Drosophila melanogaster: one gene and its partners. The protein of the gene in region 2 interacts with the protein of the main gene of each other region in a pairwise test. Each region holds a gene or a part of one and is shown on either strand. Other genes may lie near its edges. The genes, in order: CG8086, CG11248, CG8851 and narya.

Evidence for each region.
Region 1: the proteins of CG11248 (region 2) and CG8086 interact in a two-hybrid assay, tested with the Drosophila melanogaster proteins (one large-scale study listed by BioGRID).
Region 3: the proteins of CG11248 (region 2) and CG8851 interact in a two-hybrid assay, tested with the Drosophila melanogaster proteins (one large-scale study listed by BioGRID).
Region 4: the proteins of CG11248 (region 2) and narya interact in a two-hybrid assay, tested with the Drosophila melanogaster proteins (one large-scale study listed by BioGRID).

What each region holds. Positions count from the first base shown.
Region 1 is NT_033779.5:8,249,922-8,254,896, forward strand, and holds the start of CG8086 (uncharacterized protein), read right to left. Parts: upstream 3,046-4,975; 5' UTR 2,931-3,045; coding exon 2,922-2,930; intron 2,855-2,921; coding exon 2,674-2,854; intron 2,613-2,673; coding exon 2,307-2,612; intron 1,405-2,306; coding exon 1,303-1,404; intron 1,047-1,302; coding exon 942-1,046; intron 761-941; coding exon 662-760; intron 580-661; coding exon 481-579; intron 410-480; coding exon 311-409; intron 208-310; coding exon 1-207.
Region 2 is NT_037436.4:21,678,231-21,683,754, forward strand, and holds CG11248 (uncharacterized protein), read left to right. Parts: upstream 1-1,819; 5' UTR 1,820-1,922; exon of another isoform or gene 1,923-2,002; intron 2,003-2,069; 5' UTR 2,070-2,076; coding exon 2,077-4,203; intron 4,204-4,264; coding exon 4,265-4,393; intron 4,394-4,449; coding exon 4,450-4,686; 3' UTR 4,687-5,001; downstream 5,002-5,524. Other genes in the region: Als2 (amyotrophic lateral sclerosis 2), read right to left, coding at 1-1,268; Sfp78E (seminal fluid protein 78E), read right to left, coding at 5,098-5,372, 5,435-5,524.
Region 3 is NT_033779.5:3,517,713-3,523,062, reverse strand, and holds CG8851 (uncharacterized protein), read right to left. Parts: upstream 3,387-5,350; 5' UTR 3,352-3,386; coding exon 3,115-3,351; intron 2,842-3,114; exon of another isoform or gene 2,685-2,841; coding exon 1,755-2,684; intron 1,696-1,754; coding exon 691-1,695; 3' UTR 508-690; downstream 1-507. Other genes in the region: Sr-CIV (scavenger receptor class C, type IV), read left to right, coding at 1-469; CG3213 (uncharacterized protein), read left to right, coding at 3,600-5,350.
Region 4 is NC_004354.4:19,473,297-19,476,572, reverse strand, and holds narya (narya), read right to left. Parts: upstream 1,511-3,276; 5' UTR 1,407-1,510; coding exon 771-1,406; 3' UTR 518-770; downstream 1-517. Other genes in the region: CG32533 (uncharacterized protein), read left to right, coding at 1-162, 231-463, 1,808-2,391. UniProt on the Drosophila melanogaster protein: Required for the formation of DNA double-strand breaks (DSBs) together with nenya and vilya during the meiotic recombination process. Plays a role in DSBs processing into crossovers.

The DNA of each region.
Region 1 (4,975 bases), on a different chromosome or scaffold from region 2:
AACCGGGCGCCGGAGTCTCGCTCACGGACCTCGTCTCTGGGCGTCCGGACAGGGTGAATGCGGGCGTGTGGTCCAGCCGCACCTTCTCCGGATTGTAGGTGCCCGGCGCTGGCGTGTCACTCGACTTGGCCAGCTCGGCACGGTGGCCAAAGCTGAAGGCAGGCGTCCTGCTCAGGACGCACTTCTCGGGTTCGTATGCTCCGGGTGCTGCAAGAGATTGGGTGAAGATAAGGTGTAAAAAGAGTTGGGTTTTGGTGTGCGGGTCGCACGCTAAGACTAAGATCCATTGAAATGCGATTCTAGAACTCACCAGGTGTGCAATCGACCACGTCCTGCGAAGCCTTTCCGGCGATTGAGTAAGCGGGTGCGGAGTGCAACCTTGACTTTTCGGGGCTGTAGGCACCGGGTGCTGGTCATAAGGACATAAAAGTGTGCGCTATAAGCCAAGTTACTACAGCCCAGCTGAGCGGGAAGCCTTACCTGGAGTATCGCTGACCTGGATGTGTTTGGTCTTCAAGCCAAAGCTGTAGGCGGGAATGTGTTCGAGGACAACCTGCTCGGGCTTGTAGGTGCCTGGCGCTAATGAAAGTGTCGTCGTGGTGAAAGCATCAAGCAGCTATATTAACGTGGCTCAAACCTACAAGGCATACTGTTTACAAACCTGGAGTGTAATCTGGTCGCTGTTCATGGTGCTTGATGCCGAAACTGAACTCTGGCGTCTTGTTGAGCTTCACCTTCTCTGGACAATATGCGCCAGGAGCTGCGGATGGGATGGGATATCAGTATTAAGTTGGCCAAAAGTCACGGGAATAGAAAAGGAAAGCGCTATAGATACTGTCCAATTGGGTACGCTTGAGCAAGTGGTGCCTCGATTGGGGTAGATACGGATACAATTACAGATGCAGATACAGTTACTTGGGGGGGAGGCTGGGATTTATTACCTGGTGTGCCCTGATCGTGTTCGATTTTAGTTCGTCTACCGAAAGTGTAGCGTGGCGCATTCTTTTTTGATTGCGTGACCTTTTCAGGGCAATAGCTATTCGGAGCTGTTAGTGTTAATAAAACATTCGATTTTTAGTCTACTCGAATCAAAACTAAAGGTCTACACTAGGTGAGCTACGACTAAGTGTGGGTGAATTACAAATAGATAGATATGTATATACGGATAGAAAGATACATTATTTCGGGAATTAGTGATGAGTTGGGGATTAATTGATCGGGTTAGAAGTTAGAGAGCGGAGCTAGACCAACACCAACACTAAAACGCAACGTGGACGAAGTTTGGACAGTTAGTTGGGTTACCTGGATTGTTAACCAAATACACGTTAACCTTAATGCGAAAGGAGTAGCGTGGGGCTCGCCGCTTGACGACATCAAGTGGCACCACTTGATAATAGTTGGGACCTGAGTCTCGATTTTGCCACGGCAATCATTCATTGAAAGAGAAAAACGTTTCAAATTAAAATCAAATCAGGCAACATAACAAAAAAAAAGAGGTCACACAAATTACTGAACCACTAAAGTAACACATATACAAAGAACACTGTGTAGCTAGGAAATAATAAATGAGAATTAGAGAATATGTATAATCTTAAATAGAAATATTTATGAGAAATTAAGACATCTGATCTCCGTTTCCGTTTGACTCATAAATAAAAATAACTGAGCCAAGTTGTAGACAATCTTTCACAAAATAGATGACCGTATAAAGACATTGCCAATTCCTCCTACGTAAATTTGTAGCTTTTTTTTAGGGAAACAAAGAAAGTTTAGAGAACGAGATATGAACAAATCGAATAAATAATAATAATGCCCAACATTATAATTAAATACTTTTTAATTAATGTACCAAAAATAATAGAATAGAATAAGCCAAATCATTCACGCACATTACGAGGTGACATAACTACGATTCAATCTCAAGGATACCCAAAGATACAGCAGAATAATCTACGAAATGTGGCTACGACTACACTAGCTACTGAGATAGAGATAGAAAGTGGGAGAAAGTGGAAGAAAGGGGCGGTAGCAACTTACGCGCTGCTTGCAGTAAGGATGCAACTGGCATGGATTCGGATTAGTTAATGAGTACGCTTCTATGTACAATGATGATCCATGATTGAAATTGATTGATGATCTCCTCAGTCCGCGCATGCAACCAAAAAAAAAAAAAAAAACAGCACCAGCCCGCAACAAACACCGAATTCAACGCCAAATTCAAAGTCAATTTTCAGATCCAACTCCAAAATCCAACATCAGGTCCAAAAACACCATTCAAACACCAGTGGAAGAAGACCGAGACTCACCTGGTATCTGGAAGGTTTTCAACGCGACCGGCCGTTGGCCAAAAGTGTATTTGGGCGTGGCATCGATCACCGCCTTGGCCGCCGGCACCACATCGTATTCCCCAGGTCCGGGATTCGAGAAGCGTGTTAGTTCCTTGGGTCTGCTCTGCAGAGTGGCTGCTCGAGGATAATCCCGACCCTTGGCTCGCATACCCGTAACATTGTACTGCGCCGGACCCGGTCCGGAGGTGTCATACTTTCCGCCCAACTTGTGGCCAAAGGAGTACGAGGGTGCGGCCTTCTTCTTGGAGTCGGGAACTTTGCTGCCTAAATGTGGGATTTTCAATAAGTTATATTTGCAGGAACATTAAACCAATCTTAAGCTTACCTATCAAGGTTGGAAGTTGGACAGTGGCTGGACCCGGATTGGTGGTCTCGGCGGCGATCTTGCCGATCCTAACAGTTGGAGTCCAAGGACGCTGCTCCACGTTGCCGCCCATGTTAATTGGACGAATCTTACGCACGCGGGCGCAGGGTCCCTGATCCTTGTTCTTGTTTTTGAACTCGACCTAAAAAGGGGAAAACAAACAACAATATTAAGAAATCCATTAGTTATTTAGATCTTCAAGAAACCACCTTGTTCATCTTGCTGTTTTTAGGCTTAGTAGTATCGAAGTCTGAAAATTGTGCCCCAATGTAAAAAAAAAAAGTTAAAGACCAAATTTACTGAACTCCCTTCGCTGACATTTACACGTGTGAGTGGGTGATAGGCTGACTACTGAAATCTATACTTCGACCCCCAAACTTGGGTAACCTAATAATCCAAATTTCGTCCTACTCCAACAGCCAAGTCGATGACACAAAAATCAATCGTCTGGCATTTGTTTCGAACTTTCTGGGCCAATTCCGATGGGGCGGCTAATAACCAGGCGTGTAGCTCCACATATTCATACCATCCATGGGCGAATGGATTCAGTGGATGGGGGCGTGTCGTGTGGCGGCTGTCACTCTTTTTCTTCTCCTTCTTCTGCAGTGGCTGTTGCTCGGCATTTGTTGCAGGTTCCTTCTGTTCGAGCCGCGAATTTGTTGCGCCGCACGAAATACAAACAATGGCAATAACTTTGCGGTAGGCTCGTAATTCTTGGGCGTCAGTGGCAGGCACAAAAGTTGCAGGGGTTTGCAGTGCAACCAAAATAAAGTTAAGAAACTTAAATTACAGTCTTATTATGTCTTTGCCTTTCAGTTGTATTTGATTTTGAATAGAGAGCAATAATTTATATATGTAATCGAAGTTTGTAAAGGTGCCTAAATATATCTAGCATATATTGAGCTTCACCCTTTAAATTGAATTTCCCTATAAAAAGGGAACAATAAAATACGAAGAGAAAACCAAATGAATTTTAATGCAGTTACCACGGTAGACAATTTTATTATACATATGATTACCACTAAGTCGTAACAAAAGAAGTGCACAATAAAAGTGTTTCCAGCTAGTTAGGAGCTAGACAAAATGAATATTTTAATGAGAGGCCCCCCTCAACAACATTCGTATTCCCCAAAACCTGCTGCTGCCCTGGGTGACGACCTTCTTTTCACAGCTCAGCACACGGGACACCAAGTGTTGCCCATCGACAGGCGGGCAGACATCGGAAAACAGACCGGTACCAGCTGGTATCAGGAGTTCCAACCACGCTCCACCTTACCAACTTTCCACCTTTCCACCTTTTTAGCGCCAGGAACCAGGCATTTGGGCATGTAATCGATATGGGGCTGGATTTGGATACGGATACGAATTCGACGGGCGCCGAGATTTGGGGTCTGGTCAACAAGGTTGTGTCCCGAATCGAAGCGAAACGAAACGAAACGAAGGGGAGTATGCTAAGTGCTAATGCTGCCCATTTTGTGGGGCATGTAAGCCAACAAAACGATTACTTTTAATGACTTATGGCCGACAATTGCATGAACCAAAACAAAAACAAACCCAGGACCCAAAAGAAATGCGAAGCGTGCCACTTCTTTTGGCCGTGAAAATTCGCCAGCCTGTGTAAATAATTACAAACAATGTTAGGGGGCGTGGCCTGGCTGTTAACAGGGCCAATAAAGCCGTCGTTCTGCTGCCAAGAAAGGCTTCACTTTTCCCGCCAGCCGCACTTGTTACTTGCTACATATGACTCCTGACCTCGCATGCAATTCACATATACATATGTATGTATTTATGTACAAAAAACAATGTTCTCTTCGCAAGGCAGGCAGTCATCAGGCGGTCTTATAAGGCGACTCTTACATCACCATCATGAGGTTGGAAAGCCCACACACCGTACCGCCTGTTCAATTGCTGTTCGAGGCCAAGATCAGCGAAGAAAACTGAAAATCTAACGATGAATCAGAGCCGGCAGCTGAGCCAACAAACTCAGACATCTGTCAGACAAAGAGTCTTGGCCACCCACCCACATTGCTCGCATTGAAGGAAATCTGTCTTAATATGCACATATGGCATCGAAAAGAGATCAATTAAAAATCTAAAAATATATTAAGCTTAATTGTGAAAGAAAATTGTGATTGAATAATAGTCATCTTATACATAAAAGCATAACTGTCAAGATTTTGGAAGCATATAGTAGAACAGAAAATTTCAAAACATAAGATATTGCATTTGATTGTCACGCTTTTTTCTATAAACCATTAAAAAA
Region 2 (5,524 bases):
TACTGCCGCTGGAACTGCCTTTGGTTTTGAAGTGTGTATCCGCCAGAACACATAAGCAAACGTAGTTGTCTGGGCCACGCTGCTCCCAACTGAAGCTGGAGAAGCGTCTGCGCGTATGTGCTGGACTGCTGCAGATGTCGCATTGGAGGCGCAGGTTGAAGGGAATGTATTTGACCCGAGGCATTGAGCAGTAGTGTATGGTAGTCGCCGCAAGTCGCCTCAAGCGCCGAGTTTTGTTCTATGGGTAGTGCTGCCGTGTTTTCCGTAATTGTGATCTCCATGGGCGAGCTGACATCTTCACCCAACTGAGAGTGGTTGTTCAGGCCCCAGTGGTAGAGCCTTCCGTCCAGAGTGCGGGCCACCGTGTGCTCTAATCCAGCTGCAATGCTGCACACGCCCATGCTGTCTAGTTTCTGCAAGCGCATCACATTGGCCCTCCGGATATGATCCCCACTGCCCAGGAGACCATTATTGGAGGCTCCGAATGTGAAAAGTTGGGTGTGGAGCAGAGCGTATCCTTGGTGAAGAAGGTGCCTTGTGTTAGCCGCAACGCTGCGCTCCGAGTGGCCACTGCTTATGGATTTTACAGAGGCCCGTTCATCCTCGGGTTCTTCCTTCGCACTGGCCACCGACAGCTGGAGTGCATCGTCGGCCAGGTTGTAGGGAGCTACTAACATCACAAAGTGCTCGTTTCCGGCTGCTAAGTCCAACAGTTCCTTGCCCTCTTCGTAAAGGCGCATGTGCCGAGGCTGTTGTTCTGCCTTGAAGACTTCGCCGCAGCTGCCCATGACATAGGTCTCCCCACTAGCGCCGACGAAGACAACGCCCTGGGCGGAGCAGCAAACCCGTCGGATGCGTACGCCCTCAGCATGCAATTCGAGAGGGTCGAAACCGAGGGTTTGCCACGCATGTGGATGACCCACATCCCGGCCAGATCCCGTGGCTTGGCGCTGCACAGAGCCATTGGTGAGGACTACGAATAGTTCCTGACTGCCGGAGCAGAAGTCCATATCCACAACATCGGTACGCAGGAGTTGAAGATCCATGTGTTCGCGGTTGGCCTGCAGCTTGGCGGAGTAGAGGGCGTGGTCAGTGGTCAGAAGGAGCAGTTCCCCGCCGGCATTGCTGCAAATCCGGGATGCGGGAAACCGCTGCAGGGGCGGCAATCCGCGCCAGTGAAGCTGTAGCTCCCTGCCTTCATGATAGATGGTGAAGGACTCCCGCTCCTCCTGACCCCCAAGTGCCGAGTCATCCGCTGCACTGGCCATGATGTGCAAATTTTTGTTGGGGTTTTGGACAGGGCCAAAGCTTTGTAACACGACGCAATTGCTCGATTTGTCTGCAGGTCGTTCTCACATCGTGCACGTGCTCCGGTCCACGCTAGGCACTACTGGCACCAACGAACATCATATAACTTGATTCGGAATGCAACTCTAGCTGCCACGATAAAATAAATTCTGTTTTCACTTGTTCTTAACTGGCTAATAAGAATTCATGTTTTTGTGATGGTTTTTTGGATTAGTGTGACCAGCGCTATCGAGTCCCAATGAGAATTTATTAAGTAAGGGTGTTCGGGTAAAAGTGACGTTCTAAAATTGGGCTTATCACTATTTATTTGGTCCATGCAAATTGTTGTTTTATAACCAATTTTGAAAACACACATAATACCTTATACGTAAACTCAATATTGTAGTTAGCTAGAACTCTTATATAAATTTAAATAACTCCTTAGTTGCATTCGCCATAATCATGGAACCAGTCAACACAAAAAAGTTATTTTGGTATTTTTTTGCGATACATCAATTTGTTTTAATATGGTCATATTGTTTTTGCCATCAGCTGTTCGACTCAAAAGTTTTTGCATGTTTTGTTTATTTCGCTTAAAATGTAGTTTTATCGTTAATTAGGAAAAGTTACCCACGGTAAAAAAAAACAACCGTCAACAATTGTTCAGAAACATCAACTAGTACGACTCAGTGGACACCTCCGTGTGGTACTGCTGGTTTGCATACGCCCACAAAAGTTGTTTTAAGCCACAAACTCACCCTCCTAAAATAAAATTTTTTCAGCTCGGTTATGGATTTGGACTGCGAGGGCGCTACAGCTTTGGCTGACGACTCAGGGCACTTTAGCTGCACTAGCGATGATGGAGTAGGAGATCCTGCTCAGAAACCGGCGCCGCAGCCTGAACCGGACCAATCGATTTTTCTGGTGCGGCAAGAGCTGCTTCGGACGCGCAGTGAGGTGCAAAGGCTCTTAAAATCGGAGCAGTGGTACAAGCAGGAGCTTAAGTCCCAGAAGCACAGCAGGCTACAGACGCTAGAACGATTGTACGCACAGGAACGGAAGTATTTGATGGAGAACCAGAAGCTGCAGCAAGAATCGATCCGCCTGCACACACAATGCGCCACTCTGGAGAAGCAGCAGGAGCAGGGCTCACCATTTTCCCCTGGCTCATCGCCGTTTAAAGCAGACTCGGAGTCACACGACTCCTCTTTTGAGGCCAAACAGCAGGAGGCGCGCCTACGGGATCAGCGTCAGTTGATCGACGTGCTCCGAAGGCAAAAGAAGATGCTTCTGGACGACATCCAGAGGATCAGTCTGGAACACGATGAAAAACTTTCGCAGTTGCAGCAAACTGTTGTCGGCATGGAGCTGGAGAGCAAGCACGTGACTGGAAAATGCAAGCAACTACTTGACCTTAAAAGTCAAATGGAGCACCAGCTAGAGCTAAGAAGCACTACCCTACGCAGTGTCACCGCGGAGCGTGATCAGCTGCGCCAAGTCATTGCTGAGCTTAACGAGACGCTGCAAACGCAGGAGCATCTGTTAGCGCTAAAGGAACAGGAGTTCCTGGATTTGAAACAGTACTACCAACAAAAGCTGAAACGGGAGAGTAGCATGGAAATTATGCACTCTTATAGCATGAAATTTCACGAAGAGATCAACAGAAAAACGAGTGAAATTGCCAGCCTTAAGAATTCTCTTAACGAGCTTCAGGCCGAGCTGATGCTGATGTCTCACATGAAAGAGCAATGCGAGGAACAGCAGCGTCAGCTTGAGCAACTGGAGTTCGCATTGCAGGCACAACTTTTGGAGGAGACTCAACTTCGGCAAAGCAATGCTCTAAAACTGGAGCAGGTGGAAAATTTAACAATTTCTTTGGCTTCGTTACAACTAGATAAGGAAGGCTTAAAAGAAAATTTAGGTGAGGCGCAAAAGACCTTGAAAAATCTACAGCAGAAGGTGGACATTCTTCAAAAACAGTATGCCGAAATGTGCTCCTTGTGTCAAAAGACTAAACAGCAATTGGAACTGGAGAAAATCGAGATTGCCAAAATGAAGCAAAACGGTTCCTTAAAGGAAAGTGAGCTAATGGAGAAACTCAAAGATTATGCAGCGCAGTGTGATGAGCTGAGAAAAGCGTTGGCCGAAGCAGAGTCCCGTATCGATGTCCAAATCAAAAAGACAGAGGGCTGGCAAGTGCAGTTGAAACACAACCAAGCGACCCAAACGGACCTCGAAGATCCGATTTTAGTTCAACGCATTGAGACTTTGGAACAACAACTAGCGGATGTCAGGAGCCAAAAATTGCACACAGTTTCGCTGCTCCAAATACTGCTTCAACAGCAAGAAGCTAAAATCAAGAGCACTAACGAAATGGAAGCAGACTGGCAACAACTGTTAGATGCTCTGCAAGCTACTCAAAGCTTGGAGCAGGAAATGCGATCAGAACTACAGCATAAGACGGTTGAATTGGAGCACCTGAATGAATTGTTCGCTGGACAAAATGATGAACTGCAAAAGCTCCAGAAATTGAGCCAAGCGCAGGACGAGGAAAATCGACTAGAGTTACAGCTTTTGAAGAAAACATTCCAAGAGAATCTGAAGATAAACTCCGCTGCGTCGATTAACATGCAAAGGCTGCAAGGCCAGGTAAAGTCTTTGCTAGATGAGAAGGAGGAAATTGCGCGAGAAGAACGCAAAGCAGTAGAGTGTTTGCGATCTCTTGGTCACGTTCTTGAGATGGAAACAGGAAGGAGGCTACCACATATAAAAAGCTGGCCTCAGTTGGCCAAAATTCTTCGAAAGGAACTGCGAAATGGGAGGGTTAACAATCGAAAGGCTGAAGAGCTTCCTGGGCTTAAAATGAAGCTGGCGGAGATCAGCGGAAGGCATCAGCAAGCTTTGTCAAAAATTAAGGTATGTTATGTCTTACTCCCTTAAAGTAACTCTTTGTAACACAATTAATTGCTTTTTACAGTGTCTGGAGCACACTTTGGTAATGGAGCGAGCGCGGTTTGAGGCCTCGGACTCGGGCAAATCGACGGCTAGCAACACGCCCCAGGAACCCGCCCATGAAGTGGCTAATCTTATTGATGACTACAAGAAGGTAAGTATGTTCCCCTCCGATTGGCTTCTCTTGACATTTCCTTAATTGATTTACAGCTCGTTCAGCAAACCGCCAATGAAACATGTCGCCCTCGCAACAGCTTCATATTCGATCTGATTGAGCGGAGTCAGCGATGCCAACCGAATTTGTGCCAATTAGGCGAGGGTATTTCCGCCTGCCAGTCTGATATGAAGGAGCTAAGCAGGATTATTATTGCTGGTCGGGAACGGAGGAGAGTGGAGCCCATGCCCTCCCTCATGGATGAACTTCGAGCGGTGGCCGAGCACTCTTAGACGAGCATAATTTAGTTTTCAGTCAAATACTTATAAATTTCCTATTTAGTACCTATTTGTTTAGTCTCAAATTTTGTTTTCCTAAAAGGGGCAATTAGTGAATTGAGTTTTTGTGCCTAGTCTCATAGGCCTAATTTTCAATCAGATCCAACTTAGTTCAATTTATATAAATATTTATTTTGTTGTCTTTTGTGTTCGTTATCTTTATTTATGTGTAACGCATTCTGTTAGTTTCACCAATTCTATATACATACTAATTGCCAAACTATACCAATATTTTTTCTACAAGATATATAAACCATTGTTGGTTGCCACAAAAATGTGTAATTATTTTTATAGTCCATAACATTTAAAGTTAAAAACCTTGTGTAGATAAAACATATTTGTGTGAAGTCGATCAGTGCACATCATTTACTTTCGTGGGCACCTAGGGATTTTAGTACCATCGTTCTCCGAAATAACTTCCTTTTTGTCATATATCGTATTTCCGTTTTCATCCACGTCCAGAACTTCCTGTATTACCCCTTTTCGAGTTCGTGTTATCCCACACATAGGCTTATCGTTTTTATCCATGCACAAAATCAGGAGCTCAGTGTGCTGTAGATCAGAGGGCTTTAGGACCTTTGTTACCTTACAAGATGCCGTAAACTTTATGGGGCACGTCACCCCGGCACATTGCCAACCATCTGGGGGGAAATAATTATTAACATAGATGTTCCAATACTACTCGTATCCATGTAATCCATACACTTAGTCTTCTTTACCGTCGCTCGATTTAAGTCCTCATTTAGGTGCCGATCTCCGTCTGCCTTAAAATAAATGTACGATCCATAATACT
Region 3 (5,350 bases), on a different chromosome or scaffold from region 2:
CCAATTCGTGATGACTGGATCACAAGGTGCCAGGTGGCTGGAGCACACGATCGATATCAATAAGATGGATGAGGACTTCCAAGTGATCTTTACCGCCACGGATGCGAGGTCCCAATACGGAGATATTGCCATCGACGACGTGAAGCTGATGGCAGCTAAGGAATGTGCCAGGAGGTCTACCTTCATCGAGGAACCAAAAAAACCAATAGAAGAATCGGATATCACGGATTCACTGGGCTACCAAATGACCGACTGCTCTGGTCGTTGTGGTCAGGACTTTGTTCGGGGAAGGTACATCAATGAAGGGTGTCGATGCCAAGAATCATGTCTGGTGAACGGCAATTGTTGCCTAAATTATGTCAAGGAGTGCCATAAAGATCTGGTCATAGCTCCGTATAATGAACTCAAATTCTGGAGGCTTTGGAATCTTTGGAGCGGTGATAGTAATGTGACTGTCGTACCTAAATAAGTTCCTATCCCAATACATTTAACCGAATCATTAAAAGTACTTTTAAAAATGAGTTTACATAATCATTAGAGTGAAATAATTGGTGGCTTAATAAGGGCTGATAATGTCCAGGCAACTTGATGGCATAGTCCAAGTGCTGGGAGCAGTACCTTCAAGTTGCCTGGACAGCTGATGAGCCCAATCTAGTGCCTAGGTCTAGGCAGTCCAGTCCAGATCCCCGTTTAGATCGTCGCCTTCAGAGTTCGGGGGGCTGCAAATCGACCGTTGCTGGTTCCCTGGGGCAGCTGATTGATCCTGATCAGACTGGGTCGATGGGAACCACCTGATGTCAAGTGGGCAATGCCAGCCGACCCACTGCCAACGATGCCCGTGCCACCCTGATTCGTCATGGAGTAGATGTGCCGCCGGAGAACCCTTATGTGTTTCTGCGAGACCTCGAAGTTGTGGACCAGGGTGTGGAGTTGCGTCTGGAGCTCAGCTATCAGACTATCCCGTTCCTGGATCAAACTGGACGTCGAGTTTTGGCTCCTACTCAGCTTCAGTTCGAGGTCGTAGATCTTCTTCTGCAGATCCCTGCGCTGCTTTTCGCTCTGCTCGCGATGGCGGGAAAGTTGCCTTTTGCTGCTCGCCTGGAGCTGCTCCAGCTGATCCTTCATGGTGGACAGCTCCTGGGTCAGTTTCCGCTTCTCCGTCTTCAAGGCCGAGTTGTAGTTCTTAAAGATCTTCAGATCCCTTTCGGCGGCCTTCAGCCGGTTGATGGTGACCAACTTTCGGCGGCCCAGTTCATCTATTTTGACCTTCAGCTGCATGGCTTCCTGTTGGAGGGCATGAAGTTTATCCGCCAGCAGACAATTTTCCCGCATTACCGTCTCGTACTTGGAGTGCTCGTCTCGCATCATCTTCGGCAAATGGGAGACACTTTTCAGTTTGTTGTCTATCTTGGATCGCAGACTGTCTATGTCATGGTAGATGCTCGACTCCAACTGCTTGTTATTCACGTGCAGCTTCTCGATCTCCTGCTTCTGGGTGCTCATGATGTCCTGGGCTTTCACACACCGCGTGTGGTAGTCCGATATTCTCTCCTGCTGCTGCCGAATGAGAGTTCGAAACTGGACCTGCTCGCTCTTCAGTCCCTTAATGGTGGTAAGGAGCTGGCTTATATCTCCAGAGTCCCTGTCCCTGTCTCTGTCCCTACCTCGATCCCGTTCATGCTTGTACTTCTGATCCTGATTAAGGAAGAAGGTTTAAGTTTTTATATTCCATTTAGCTAACAGCTAATTCATACCTGTGAGGTGTTGATCACATCCTTCAGCACATTGTACACATCCTTGAAGGATGCTGGCTCCCTTTCCCGATCGTCCTGCTCCAAGGATCTCTTCCTGCGCTTCACGTGACGGTTCGCCAGTGTTTCCACAATACGGCTGTCAAAAACGCTGTTCACCTGTGATGGCAGATCGTCCTTGTGCCGATGGTGATTCTGCTGATGAGTACTCCTTTCGGACGCGTATTTCTTTCTATCGATTTCGTCGCAGGAACTCTGGCCCGATAGAACGGTCATGAAACTGGTATTGCTGCGCAGGATTTGGGGGCTCTTTCGTCTGATGGTCGTCTGCGAGGTGACACTGCTGGCAGAGCTATAAAATCCATCCGGATCGGGCTCACTTCCCAGATCCATTTGCTGGGCCTGCTTCCTGCTGGACACGAACTGATCGTGCTTCTGCTGCATTTCGCACAGCTCGTAGTTAATTTTCATGTACTTCTCCTCCAGATCCTTGGTGCTTTCGTTGTAGTCCTTGAGCTCCTGCTTGTACTTGCAGAGTTCCTCCTTTAGCTTGCTGCCAAGGGCTTCCGAGTCTGGCAACCTCCTCTTCGAGCCCAAACCCTTTCTGTAATCTTCCGGCTCTTCATCACTCATGATTAGGCTGACCTCCTTACCTTCCCTGCTGTTCTTGGGTAATTTTGTTATACTGGGACTACAGTGGTCCCCGAAGTCCAAGCTACTGGCACTTCTCGTATCTAGTACTTTGGAGCTCGGCCTGGAGAGGCTGACATAGCTACTCTTTTCATTTTCATCTGCCTGATCTTCGTTCTTCTCATCCAGCTCGAAGTCCAGTCCCATTGAGGTGTTACTAGATGATGTTCCTTTGCGATTCTGTGGACGGAATCGAAGTGATCGTTGTCTGTTGGCTAATGGTCGCCTGGATGGCTTTAACATCTACGAAAATTTAGCCTATTTGGTTAATGTTGCACTTGTGTAATTTTTTGCACTGTTTTTGGCGAACAGAGAATTTTTTTAAAAACCTTATGTGACACATTCAATTCCCAAAAATATTAATTTTACGTAGGACGTGACGAAAATTATTTGATAGAAAATTGGGCGTTACGCCTACTCGAATGGCATTTGCCTTCTGGAAAATATCGCTGTTCGAGGATTGATTATATCCTTAAGGTTTATATAATAGTTTTAGATAATAAACCACATCTCCCAGTAGAGTGATAATTTATATATGTATATTCCTACTGATTGCCCTTTAAATTTCCCATTTCACCGTAAAACATTTTCATACTTTTATGTTAGTAAAGGATACAGGTAGATTCTCATAACATATTTTCGAATAGATTTAAAATTATTTATTAAGATATACCATTTCCTTCAAGTCGCACTGTGTTTTGATTTTGAACCAATTCAAGTAGCGGCAGTAGTAAATATAGTTGTTTGTTTCGCCGAATAGATGCCTCGATACACACTCCTCCCGAAGGACACATTCCTGACCATCCTGGGAGGGAGGACTCCGGTAATCCACCTCGACAAAGCAAGTCCTCGATCCCAATCCAGTTCTCCGGGATCTTTCGTTCGATTCTCCCAAGTCGAAGCAGGCCATTCCAAATCTGTTGCCAACTGCCCAGGGCGAATGTCCGTGGATTTTTCAGTTCATTTTATTCGATCACGAAGAAAACAACTTATTCTTCCCAAAACTTGTTTCGAAATTTTTTCAGAGTATGTGTTAAAATTTTCGCAGAATATACGTACCTTAAAATCGTTAGTAAATCTAGCCAAATATAAAAAAAAAAAAAAAAAAATTTTAACCATACAATTTTTGGCCGCATCGATAAGTGAATCTAAATCGCGATGGCAGAGAACACAGAGTACACCGATGAGGGCGGCGAGTACGAGGACGATGAGAACCAGTACCTTGGCGAACAGCACATGATGGAGGAGGGGCCCGACGAGGACCTCTTCTCCAAGCTGGGCGAGTCCTCCGACGATCCCGAGCAGAAGCGCATGTACATGGAGTACCTGGCGCTGATCAAGGAGATCGATTGCCAGAACAAGATCATCCAGGACATCAAGAGCAACATCATGGACATGTGCGCCAAGCCCTGCAAGACCCGCAACGAACTGCGCGAGATCAAGCGGTTGAGGATTTGCATGGAGCAGGAGAACATTAAGCTGCACACCATGATGAACAGAGCGGTGCAGCTGCAAAACTTCGGCTCCCATCGGCACTACAAGGAGCTGGCCATGACCACCACCGTCGACGAGGACAACCTGTCACCGTATATGTGTGGCATCGGTCCTTGTGCTCCAGCTGGCAGCGCCACGGATCCCTGTAGCGAAGAGCCTAGCTCGTGTGCCAGTGTTTGTGGTGGCGGCGGAGGCGGTGGAGGTCAACGGGACATGGCTGGTCAGGACGACAAGTTGATCTGCGCTCTGCAAAAGGCCATGCAGAAGATGAAGGGCGCTTGTCCTGAGGACAAGAAGATGATCGAAGAGATCGCCTGCGCTATAATGAGCTGCAAGAAGCAGCCGGTATGCGTTCCGGGTCCCTGTCCGCCACCACCCTGTCCGGGTCCTTGCCAAGGTCCTTGCCCGGAGAGCAGCAGCAGCAGCATTGCCCCATGTCCTCCTCCCTGTCCAGCCAAACGGAAGGCTCAGAAGGCTCCCTGCCCCCAGCCCCAGCCCCAGCCACCGGGCAAGTGCGAGTCCTTGGAGAAACTGAAGCGGCGCATCCAATGCATGCAGACCTCGGTGAAGAAGTTGCTCCAGGAGGTGAGCAATCGGGATGCGTCCGAACCCTGTGACGTCGACGACGATGACGATGAAGGAGAGGAGGACCCCTGCTCCAGGCCGTGTCCTCCCAGGCCGCCGTGTCCCGAGGATCCAGACCCACTGGTCATCTGCGGCGGAAAGCGGAACACCAAGGCCGACAAGTACGAGAAGATGAAGGAGAACTACACCAGGCTGCTAACCGAGTTTCAGCGCAAGGACTGCCAGATGAAGGAGATGCAGAAGCGAATGAAGGGTATCTGTGGTCCCTGTCCATCGAAAGGGGGCGACGGGGATGCCGATGCCGCCGAGCTGAATCTACTTCGAGCGCGGGTCAACGAGCTCAAGGAGGAGCAGCTGGAGTTCAAGTGCATCATGAAGGAGCAGTCGCAGCAGTTAGAGGACTACCGCAACAAGTACCTGCTGGCCCAGCAGAAGGTCGAGGAACAGTGCGTCTCCCTAGAGAAGCTGAACATGAACAACAAACGAATCGAACAGCAGATCAACACGGAGGTCAAAGAGATTCGAGCTAAGTTCCAAGAGAAACTGAACGAGTTACTGCACTTCCCCAAGCTCTTAGAGAACGAGCAGCTGAAGCTGGCCCAGGTTTGCAAGGAGAAGGATGAGATGCAGACGAAACTGGTGGTGGTCTGCAAGGAGCTCAAGGCCTGCAAGACGCAGATGGAGCAGCAACCCAACGTCGATGTGCGACCTCAGCTGGCCCAGTGCCAAATGGAACTGACTCAGGCCAGGAATGAACTGGAGGAGCTTCTCCGACAGAGGGATCTCTTCTGCGAACAGCTCAAGTCCACCCAAGACGATCTGGACACTCT
Region 4 (3,276 bases), on a different chromosome or scaffold from region 2:
CTTCCACACGCGGCTCAAGCCCTTCGTGCTGCAGCACCCAAACTCGCAATTCGCCAAGCACTTCGAGCTGCTTAAGCTGACCGAAAGCGATCTGCTGCCCAAGCCAGACTTCTACACGCCCAAGCTTCCGCTCAGCAAGCGCCACCAGTTGCTCTGTTACCAGTGAGTGCGTGCGTCTGTACGAAATTGCAGCGCCATACTAATCCCCAAAAAACTACGTACTACAACAGGTCGCTGCTGGAGACCGCCAAGCCCTATCTGATTAACTGCATCCGCCTGCCGGCTGCCCAGACGCTATTGCTCTTCAGCTTCGCCATTGACACGAACGCGGGCATCACACAGATCGCCTGCGACGGCTGGCTGGGACTGGATCTGCCCATGCCCGGCAGCGGTATGGAGCTTTTAAGACGGGCCATCGAGTTGCGCCGACGTTGGAGCAGACTGCTTTACGACAAGCTGGATGGTGAGTGCTCCCCAGATTGGTTGGAATTATTAAAACTACTAGGGGGATTTTTGAGTTTTGTAAGCTAAAGTAGATTGTTATATTTCCGTTTATGGTTATCATATCCCGCACATGAGTAGTGGAACGTCTCGATTTGAATAGTAATAGTAATAGAATACGGATGATAATTAGTACCTTAAGCGCAACTTAATAATCTATCTGGTTCTTTATATTGGGAATCTTCTGGAAGGTCAAAACCTAATTGAATCGTTAGAAGTGGTTATAGTCTTAGAATTCCTATAAAAAATTATACAAGTAATTGGAGTGACTAAAGACGAAAGCCTTTAGTGTCGCTGCCAAAAGATCTTCTCCGCGTTGACTGGGTATCCAAGTCCGCGGACCGGCGGGAGCTATCAGAAGGCATATCCGACGGCGATTTGTCCGAAGTGCTGATAGAGGTGTTCCAGGCCTCCTTGAACTCCGGCGTATGGAATCTCTCACCTGCACTGTGCCGGCGCCTCGTCATCCTCTGCGCATTCTCGTGGTAAGCGATGTAGGTGCGCAATTCAGCGATTCGCTTCTTTTCCTCCACGACCTTCTGGTTCAGCTGCGCCTCCATCTTGCAAAAGCCCTCCAGCTGGCGCTTGTTTTGCTCCAGCTGCTGCAACTGACGGTAGAAACCCAGGTTGTCCGATGCTCGCTGGTCCGCTTGGAACTTGGAGATCTTGCGGTAGATCTGCTGGAATCGCAGGGGATCCGCGAAGTAGTTGGCCACGCTAGTTGGCATATCCCGGTTGATCTGGATCGCTTTGAGCACCTGGCCGCATAGCGGGCAGTTCTTTTCTAGCGAGGATTGGCCCAAACAGGGGCCGCAGATCACGTGCCGGCACTGGGTCAAGTGGAAGGGCACGGCTGGATCAGTTTTGCGATGACGGAAACACTTGTTGCAATGCACTCGAAACATAGTGACCAATATATGTTTTTTTCCTCGCCTTGCAAGTTTTCTTCTTAAACAATTGTGATTTAGATATCCGAATGGGGCTAACGGATCTTACCTCAGCGGTCTGGCCACTCTGCCGGGTGAGAACACTCTCGCCTTGCAATCTGTTCACCACACCTTTCCTGCAAGTGGTGTATTCAGGTTCAAAGATTTTTCACCATAATATTTTAAAGCAGTTATTATTGTAACAATCAAATGATGGGAACGACATATGCTTAAAAACGTTTTTTTTTTTAGGTATTTACATATACAATTGTCGATATTTGAACTGTTCAGTTATAGAAAATGCTTGTTGTTCTTGGCATTCTTAGTAAATGGAGCTTAGTTATCTAATACGTATGTACTTAATGCTGTCCAATTTGCAGACCTCAAAAGCAAACAGGAATCACCTTCCCATTCAAGTGACGATAGGAGCAGCGCGCTGTGGCAAGATCTTGTGGACTATATGGCGCTGGATGTGGCGTATGCGATACGCCGACTGCTTCCCGCCGACATCAAGAGGCTCTACACTCATCAGGCACCTTCCGCGCGACTCGCGGAGCTCAAGGAGAACCCCTTTGCCGTCGACTTTCCCATGACACCGAACGAGGAAAAGGGCGGCCTCAACGTATCGGAGCACGTGGTGTACAGCTGCTTGGCCGAACAGCAGTGGACGACGGCCATGGATGCGACTCTACGGGCAGAGCCATGGCAGTGTACGCGCTGCGATTTCGAGCTGGAGGAGTTCGATGTGCTGGAGCAGCTGGTGCACCGATCCAAATGCAAGCGTCGCAAGGCGCAGGAAAGCCGCACGGCGAAAACAACGAGCACAGAGTCCTCAACGGAGGTAGCCAGTAGCTCCAGTTCGCACTCCTCCGGCGGCTATTACTGCAACTCCTGCAAGAGGGAGTTGCGACTGACAACGATCGACATTCTGCGCCACAAAAAGCAGTGTCGAAATAACAAGTAATCGTCTGAATAAACGTATTTAATTATAAAAAAAAAAACATATTTAATTTAACATATTGAAAAATTGCTAAACAAATTAACTTTTGGCCTGTCCCCTTTGGAAATCAACAAAAATGTTATGAAAAACATTTGCTTTCTTTAATTGAGGGACCCTTCAGCCATGTTACAATGAAAAAAAAAAAACGCACTGAAAAATGTTGGGCGGAAATCTGTATTCGGATTTCCCACCAAAAATATTTCGTTTTTGGGCCAAAACAATGGAATTTTTAATTAAAATCAATTATGCCCCGTTCAATTGGCATTGAAGCCGCCGGGAAATTTCCATTTTAATCAAATTGTTGAAAGAATGAATTTATAGAATAAATTATCGGATACGAAATATGGGATTTGATAACTACGTATGCCTGTTAGTTAGCCAGCTACACAATAGGTCGTCGTTGCTCAAGCTGCGCTGCTTATTTTAACTGAATATTGCAATATGTAAAATTGTCAAGTGTCCAGCTTTCAATTTGCCACTGACAACAGAGCTGGGTGAATTCCTCACAAGGATTTAGTTTTTATCTCGCACAATTTTGTAGCTTACAAAATAGTTTTTAGCTTAGGATGATGACAAAAAGGGATTTAGAGATTTGTATTGGATCTGCACCTTAATGCGGCGCTCCTTTCGACCGTGCTGTGTTGTCCTAATCTCGGGACACAGAAGCTACGCTTGTTTATGAAAAGGTCTTTGCCTGTCAAGCTGTCCAATTTTCAGATATAGTTGTGCGCTTCCTCGGCAGGGCAGCAGCTCCTTCTGCCTCGCCCGACTGTCTACTTCTTTGCAACTACATTGTTGCTACTGTCGAGTTTTGTGCTCAGCTTGCTTGTCCGCTTTTTCGCAAGAAAA